2 linked regions of the Rattus norvegicus genome follow. The protein of the gene in region 1 purifies or fractionates together with the protein of each later gene. This does not show direct contact. Links are inferred from orthologs where the notes say so. Each region holds a gene or a part of one and is shown in the gene's direction. Other genes may lie near its edges.

Region 1 (3,813 bases):
TTTCGGGTTATTTGATTAATGTCTCCACCAGCTTCCTAGGGTTCTTTCCACATTCTGGGCCTGAAGGTTGGTAGTCACGCTGGGAACCCTATTGCCACACTCTGCTTCAATGACAGTAAGAACTGTCCCCAAACTTTTCTATGTCTCCCCATTCCACTTCACCCCCCCCATTAAGTAAAGGAGCCCCCTCCCCCCAAAACCCTCCACCCAGAGGCTGCTCCGCCGTGACCTGGGCTAGATTCCCAGTATTCCCATGTCAACTCACAACCATCTGAAACTCCTGATCCAGGGAATCCAATGCTTTCCCACAAGGGCAACGCACACGCACACGCACACGCTCATGGAGTTGGCTATTTATAATGAAGGTTCCCTTTTTGTGGGGAAAACTTACTTCAACACTATCGTTTTACACACAATCTCTTCCCTACTTGGAGTCATGACGCACTGTATTTTTAGACAGCTTGGTCAAGTAGTACTTTCTCTTTGCACGCAGTGCTCAAAACACCAGTTTGCTTTACTGCTAAAGAAATAGCGCAAAAAAGATGAGTAGAATAAAAACCATCTTCAGTCTTAGACTAATGATTTTCACAGTAGGACATGGGCCTATTACGGTTGCAGTTATCACAGTCACTGGGATCGCGCGCGCACGCGCGCGCGTGCACACACACACACACACACACACACACACACACACACACACACACACATTACTTAATTGCCTTCCACTTACACACAAAGTTAGACTTGAGTCTCTTCAATAAGCTTTCCCTCCAAGCTGTGCCCTAACCCTCCTTACAAATTGTCCTGGCGCCACCTAGTGGCCAAGATGCAGTTTTACAACATGGCATCCAAACAATCACAAAGGTGTGTGATAAATCCCTTGTCCCATAAATCTGCAACTTTTCTTGACCCTACAGAGCCAATGTAATAAAAAGATTTGGCTCGGGGTTGGGGATTTAGCTCAGTGGTAGAGCGCTTGCCTAGGAAGCGCAAGGCCCTGGGTTCGATCCCCAGCTCCGAAAAAAAAAAAAAACCCTCCAAAAAAAAAAAAAAGATTTGGCTCCAATAAGTGCTCTCTTAACAAGACAATTAACTTTATTCTGGGAATGGTGGCGCACACCCTTAATCCCATAACTCTGGAGGCAGAGGCAGGTGGATCTCTGTGAGTTTGAGGCCAGCCTGGTCTACATAGCGAGTTCCAGGCCAGCCATGCGACATTCCCACAAGCATCCCAAATGGCCTGGGTAGGACAGCATTGACTGTCTCGTCACCAGCACTCTCTGCTCTTTCTCCAGTCGGGCTGCCACGTGGAATTGTTGTTCCTACGCTACATCTCGGACTGGGACCTGGACCCCGGCCGGTGTTACCGTGTCACCTGGTTCACTTCCTGGAGCCCCTGCTACGACTGTGCGCGGCACGTGGCTGAGTTTCTGAGATGGAACCCTAACCTCAGCCTGAGGATTTTCACCGCGCGCCTCTACTTCTGCGAAGACCGCAAGGCTGAGCCTGAGGGGCTGCGGAGGCTGCACCGCGCCGGAGTCCAGATCGGGATCATGACCTTCAAAGGTGAGACGGGTGCACAGGAGAGGAGATCTGAGTTGTCACTCAGAGTGAGAGTCGGCTGGGACACTGGGGGCAGAGGGCGACATCAAGACTCTCAATTCATGAGGGGTTGGGGATTTAGCTCGGTGGAAGAGCGCTTGCCTAGCAAGCTCAAGGCCCTGGGTTCGGTCCTCAGCTCCGAAAAAAAAAAAAAAAAAGAAAAAAAAAAGACTCTCAATTCATACTAGATATCAAATGTATTATTTTATTTTTTGAGGTAGGGTCTCACTATCTCAGGCTTTCAATTCTCTGCCCTGTGCCTTCTGAGTGGTGGAACTATAAGTATGCTTAATCTCAGAATTATCAGAATTTGAGAGATAGAAGTTGGGAGGGCTACAGGTGCACTAAGTGACAGAACTCTTATCTAGCACGTGCAAAGCCCTGCGTTCCACCGTCAGCAATCAAATAACAAATTAACGATGATGATGATGATGGTGATGATGGTGATGGTGATGGTGGTGGTGGTGGTGGTCAGAGAGATGGTTCTGTGGGGACACTTGCCTTGGTGGCTCAAGTTTGATCCCTGAAACCCCACATGGTGGAAGAAAAGAAATCTCACTAATTGTGTCTGACTTTCTGACCTTCACCTACACACTGTTTGTATGTGCGCGCGCACAGACGCACCTTCTTATTTATGCATTTATTTCTCTCTTAAGACTATTTTTACTGCTGGAATACATTTGTAGAAAATCATGAAAGAACTTTCAAAGCCTGGGAAGGGCTGCATGAAAACTCCGTCAGGCTAACCAGACAGCTTCGGCGCATCCTTTTGGTAAGTTCTCTCTCTCTCTCTCTCTCTCTCTCTCTCTCTCTCTCTCTCTCTCTCTGTGTGTGTGTGTGTGTGTGTCTGTCTCCCCCCCTACTCACCAGCCTCTTAGATAGTTAGTTGTATCTCGTGTTGTTTCACGTGACGAATACTTCACTGCACTTACACTCCAGTTTTCTCTTTGATCTTTGCCCAGGGCTGAGCTCCCACTTAGCCTCTTTCCTGTAGCTTCCTCTTCGCTCAGTCCTCATAACTGTTTCTTTCTGTTATCCTCCCCTCAGGTGGGATTCCTTCCAGGCCAGAATTCTCCCCTTCTTTTTCCTAGACCTCATCCCAATATACTTTCCTCTGGAGCACCCACTTCGTTCAGACGCTTCCCCCGCCCCAGCTCAAATTTAAATCCATTCACTCTGTTTGTATCTCTCTTTTCTGCAGCCCTTGTATGAAGTCGATGACTTGAGAGATGCGTTTCGTATTTTGGGACTTTGATAGCAACCTCCTGGAACGTCACGTGTAGTGAAATTTCTCTGCTGAAGAGACTGGATGAAAAAACAATCCTTCAACTACCCGTTTTTCTTCCTAAGTACTCACTTATAAGTGTAGAGGGGAAATTATATGACTTTTAAAAATACTTGAGCTGCATAGGCCCTCCAGAGCGATGGTGCAAACTGTGCTTTGTGTACAACATCGCCATCTACTGGGGAACAGCAGAACTGCTAGACTTTGGATCACATATGATGCTCTCTCGGACTTTTCAACAGGATGGAAACGGAAGGAAATTGCTTAGAAAAACATATGGAGACGATCTCACAGTTTGTTACACCTACCCTATGTTCTTTTATTCATTTGAATTCTCAGGGGTATCAGTGACGGATTTTTCTACTCTTTTCTTCTGGGGCTCACTTTCAGGGGTTCTCTTCTGACGAGGCCACGGGGCTGTCCTATAGTCGCGGTCTGAGCCATCACAAGTCATTCTCTCAAAAGCATTAATATGCAGGCATGTGCTATATATTGCTATATATTTTCATTGTCCGTCCTGTTTTTTATATTCGTACGTGAGAGGGTTTGGGAGGGTGGGATTTGAAGTATGCGTGATCACCTCTGGGTGATTTTAATAAAGGATATTAAAATGCAGATGAGGACTACAAAGAAATCATTCTGAAAATGAGTTCATGCTTCAAGAAGCAAATCCCCTGGAAACACAGACTCTCTTTCGTTTTTAATGTCATTAGTTTACTTACAGTCTTATCTAGAATGAGAGTTCAAGAGTTCAATCCAATTTTCAGATCGCTTCCCTTAAACATCCATAACTCTGTTAAAGGGTTTAAACATCCTTATTTCTTAAGTAACTGGTGCCTTACTGTAAGGAGAGGAGCAGAAAATCCAGATCAAAAGTATACAGTCATCATAGACAGTAACTGCCACGTATCCCCACCCCAACCCCC
Region 2 (4,546 bases), on another chromosome or scaffold:
ACGGTATAAAATGCACTCTCGTTACCAAAGCTCACAAAGCCCATTGTGAAACCTCTACCATGCCCTGTTCTGGGCTTTGAAGATTTGAGGGAGAAGTTGACAAACTCAGCCCCAACTTTTAGAGTTTGCAGTCGAACTAATGAGGCTGTCAATACATAAAATGTCAACTATCAGGTACAAAGTGACGGATTGAGTCTGTGAACAGCAGAGGAAGTGCTCGCAGAGGGAATAATGAGGAGAGGATGCGGCAGTTTGAGGAATAACACGTTTCTCATGTGTAGTTGGAGATAGTTGAATGGGCTTTCTGGGATGGAGTCTGTTGTGATTCCTTACTATTTCAATAACGGGCAAATTCCTTCCCCAGAAACCTCTTTTTATAAAAGTGTGTGTGTGTGTGTGTGTGTGTGTGTGTGTGTGTGTGTGTGTGTGTGTGTGCTTCTGGGTGTAAATGGAGGCCAGAAGAGACCATCGGATCCTCTAGAACTGGAGTTAAAGGCAATTGTGAGCTGTTCAACATGGCTGCTGGGAAGTAAACTGGGTTGTCTAGAGAGCAGTAAGTGCTCCTAAGTGCTGAGCCATTTCTCCAGACTCCCAGACCTTTTTTATACTGTTTGGGTAGACGTGAAGATTATCCAATTGCTACTGGGTCTTGTGCCAATGACAGAAGCTCAGAAAAAACAAACAAACAAACAAACAAACAACAAACACGATATCAACGTTTTCTCAGTCACCAGTAATCTATGCCCAGGTGCCAATTTGTAAGCCAGCACTGTCCAGGGGAAGCATAATGGGAACCCCAAAATGAAATCCATGTAAGCAATTTCAGTATATCTATTAAGTGCACTTAACAAATAAGAAACTCAAATTCATTTCATATTTCCCTTTACCCATAAGTTAAAAAAAAGACACCAGTTCAAGTATGAAAAATCCAGTGTACATTTGATTCACACTTAACCTCTCAATTAGGACTAGCCACACTTCAAGTGCCCAGTAGTCACATGTGATAGGACTAGCCACAGGCGACTATCATATGGGACGCAGGATTTTAAACCTTAGCTCCTCTCTCCCTCCCTCTCTCCCCTCTCCTCCTCTCTCTCTAACCCATGCGAGACAGGGTTTCTCTGTGTAGCCCTGGCTGTCCTGGAACTCGTTTCTGTAGACCAGGTTGGTCTCGAATTCAAGAGATCTGCTCGCTTCTGCTTCTCCAGTACTGGGATCAAAGGCGTACAACACCGCCAACCAGTCAACTCAATTTCTTTTTTTTTTTTTTTTTTTTTTGGTTCTTTTTTTCGGAGCTGGGGACCGAACCCAGGGCCTTGCGCTTCCTAGGCAAGCGCTCTACCACTGAGTTAAATCCCCAGCCCCACAACTCAATTTCTTTATCTGTGAAATGAGGGTGAAATAAGAACAAAAGTGGCAGTCTCTGGAAGACGTGGAAGGTTACCCACGAAACATCAGGCATTCTGCTCTACACTTGGATGACCGCCTAGTTTTTAGGTTTGTTCCCTTAGCATCCTCCCACTTTCCTGCCCCTTCAGGATCCAGGCGGAAGCAGAATAGTCAAACTGCGGCGCGCTTTACGGCAGCGCTTTCTTTTACGGCAGTGTGGCGAGAGCGCCGGCCACGCGCTCTTTTACTCTATTGGTTCTGAGGCCTGGCGCTTTACGGCAGTGTGGCAGGAAAAGCCTCTAAGCGGCCCGTGGTTCGGGAGTAAGTGGAGGCAACCAGGGTACACTGTGCTGATTGGGTCCGGAACCATGGACGTGGGCGAACTTTTAAGCTACCAGGTAGGTGCAGTTGGCAGGGCCGGAGAGCTCCTCATCCTCGTTGGCGTCGCAAGGAAGAGCCCGGTCATCTTGCCTCCTCTCGGTCCCTGGCCCTCACTTCTCATGTCACCCGGGCTTGCATCCTGTCATTGCACTTCACTCCCCTAAGCCCTCGTGGACCCTTTCGACCCCTTCTTTCTCCAGGCCTGAGCCATTTGATCTCTGTTCCCCACCCGGCAGCCCGATTCCCTTCAGCTCCTCTTCGGCCTCATTTCTTCCAATTCATAGCGCTTAAGACAGTTGTGGAGAACACTGCTTTTTATTTCGGTGTCAGTTTCTTTACCAAGAGTCGGTGTAGCTTTGGATAAGTCTTTCTCCCGTCACGGAGTCTCGTTTTTTCTTTTAAAATCTATAAAATGGATATATGTGAAAGGTCATTTGAAAGTGCAGAAACCTGTGGCCATGGTCCCCGCAATTGTTAAGATACTTGGAAAATGAATCATGGAATGGGTCCCTCAGAGACCTCTTGACCTCCTTGCTCAGGGTACTTGTGGGGAACGGGTGACCTAGAGAGAAGAAAGGACTTGCCCGAGGTCACTCAACAGCTACAGACTAGATAAAGTTCAAGTGTCCAGGCTCCCGGCCCAAAGTTTTCGCCCTCTTTTGACTGCCTAACTGCCTAATGAGGTTCCTTGGGTCCAGCCTTGTTTTCACTAGCTGCAATAGCGTCGGAGCTCATACAGGGTAATTAGTCTGAATTAGGAAGTACTGTTTTGTAAATCACACCTCATTCTAAAGACATAGTATGAAAAAAGGTAGTATTTTTATATTGATTACAGAGCCTTGATCATGTTGGTTGAATGAGTATATACGAGACCATCATATGATGGAGCATACTTTGGGTAATGGAAATAAAATACAATTTTAGCCAACCTTGCCCACTTGTGTAGTGTTCAAACTGTGATTGTTTTAAAAGACCAGAGTAGGTGATGAGAAGCTGTGAGCCTGAACTGCTGGCCATGGATGCCTTAATCTCAGTGCCTGAAAGTTGGGAGGCAGAGGCCCCAGGTCACTAAATTCCAGGCCAGCCAGCGATACTTAGTGAAACAACCCCCTGATCCTCCAAAAGCCTGGATTTGGAGCCCCAGGTTGCCTTCAATCTCTTCTTTTTCTTACTGACTGGTTGTAACCTTGAACAGAATACCTCATGCTACCTACCTTGTGTCTGTTGTGAAGAAATTTTTTCTTCTGTTAAGAAATTTACAGTGGGCCAGGTGGTTGTGGCACATACCTTTCATCCCAGCATGCAGAGGCAGAGGCCAGAGCCAGAGGCAGATGGATCTCTCTGAGTCCAAATCCAGCCTGGTCTACAGAGTGAGTTCTAAGACAGCCAGGGCTACCCAGAGAAACTCTGTCCTAAAAACAAAACAAAACAAAACAAAACAAAACAAAATGAAAGAACAACAACAAAAAACTAGCTATGCATAGCAGTTGGTGGCTCACACCTTTAGTCCCAGGATTTGGGAGGAGGCAGAGGCAGGCAGATCTTTCAAGGCCAGCCTGGTCTACAGAGTGAGTTTCAGGACAGCCAGGGTCTCACAGAGAAATCCTGTCCAGAAAACCAAAACCAAAAGAAAAAGAGAAAAAAAAGTGTTAGGCTAGTGTTTGTTGCAGAGTATAATAACAGTCCATAAATACTAATATTGGTAATTATTTCCTTTAGCCAATATATAAACCCTGATCCCATAGATGGAGACTCCAAGCCTGATGAGAAAGAATACATAAGTGTCAGAGAACAGATGCGAGGCCACAATATTTTCCCCTTTAAGACAGTGTAATTGATAATGGAACAAGAAAGGTGGTGGGAAGGTCACTGAAGAATACTCGTTTGGGAGTTCTGGGCTAAATCCATAGTCTAAATCTGTAGAGTCCAGTCCATTGATTCAGAGCTGGAACAGTGCAGCCAGGAGAGGCCCATTTGGCTACAGATACTTGTTGGACATTTACTGTGCACAAGCTACTTGGTCCTTTGAGCATATGATGTGGAAATAAACAAGACAAGGCTCTTGCTTTTGAAAAGGCAAATACAGTGGGGGAGCCGCCAGAGAATATTGAGTAAGCAAATAAGAAACTTAGATGGCCAGAAGTGTTATGAGGGAGTGCGGCAGAATCCGCTGTGGAAATGTGAGCATGTTTGGCGTCTGCTGTGCGCATGACTGTTGGATATCGAAAGAGTGGCCCACCTGCATCAAGTGCTTATGTGTAAAGTACACACTGCGTCTCACAGCTTTATTGGGGAATGATGAACTATCTTAATTTTTAAGGTAGATTACGTTTATACATTGGATTAAGGATAATAGATTTTTAAACTTAAATTTCGTGCCTACTTCTGAGTTTAAACTTCTATGTAAGGTTTGTGACTCTCATTGTATTTCTGTTGGCCAACGCCGCTGTGTATAACTCCTTTCAGGGCCTCTGTAGACTGAGTGGTCAGGGAAGGAGTCTGACGGGCCAGCGTTAGTGCCCTGAAGGTTAAGGAGCCAGCATATGACAGGGCAGAATGATGAAGTCAGGGGCAGAGACTGTGAGCACAGGCTCCAGGACCATTAGACAAGCAGAGAGAAGAGCCATGTAACCCAGCCTTGGTGAGTGAGCAGGACACCAGAAGGTGACACGGCATCTGGAAATATTGGCAGATTACAGTTGAGGTAGGACCTCCTTAAGGGCCAGAAGAAAGCCTTTGCATTTTGAGAGGTGATACAGATGTCTTCATTTAACCC

What was found.
Region 2: the proteins of Aicda (region 1) and Ctnnbl1 purify together in Homo sapiens (affinity purification with western blotting; 3 studies listed by BioGRID, with this or other methods). This does not show direct contact. The link is inferred for Rattus norvegicus from reciprocal best matches to the Homo sapiens genes AICDA and CTNNBL1.

What each region holds. Positions count from the first base shown.
Region 1 is NC_086022.1:157,452,521-157,456,333, forward strand, and holds the end of Aicda (single-stranded DNA cytosine deaminase), read left to right. Parts: intron 1-1,295; coding exon 1,296-1,566; intron 1,567-2,258; coding exon 2,259-2,374; intron 2,375-2,803; coding exon 2,804-2,857; 3' UTR 2,858-3,438; downstream 3,439-3,813. UniProt on the Homo sapiens protein: Single-stranded DNA-specific cytidine deaminase. Involved in somatic hypermutation (SHM), gene conversion, and class-switch recombination (CSR) in B-lymphocytes by deaminating C to U during transcription of Ig-variable (V) and Ig-switch (S) region DNA.
Region 2 is NC_086021.1:166,806,194-166,810,739, forward strand, and holds the start of Ctnnbl1 (beta-catenin-like protein 1), read left to right. Parts: upstream 1-1,705; 5' UTR 1,706-1,757; coding exon 1,758-1,787; intron 1,788-4,546. UniProt on the Homo sapiens protein: Component of the PRP19-CDC5L complex that forms an integral part of the spliceosome and is required for activating pre-mRNA splicing.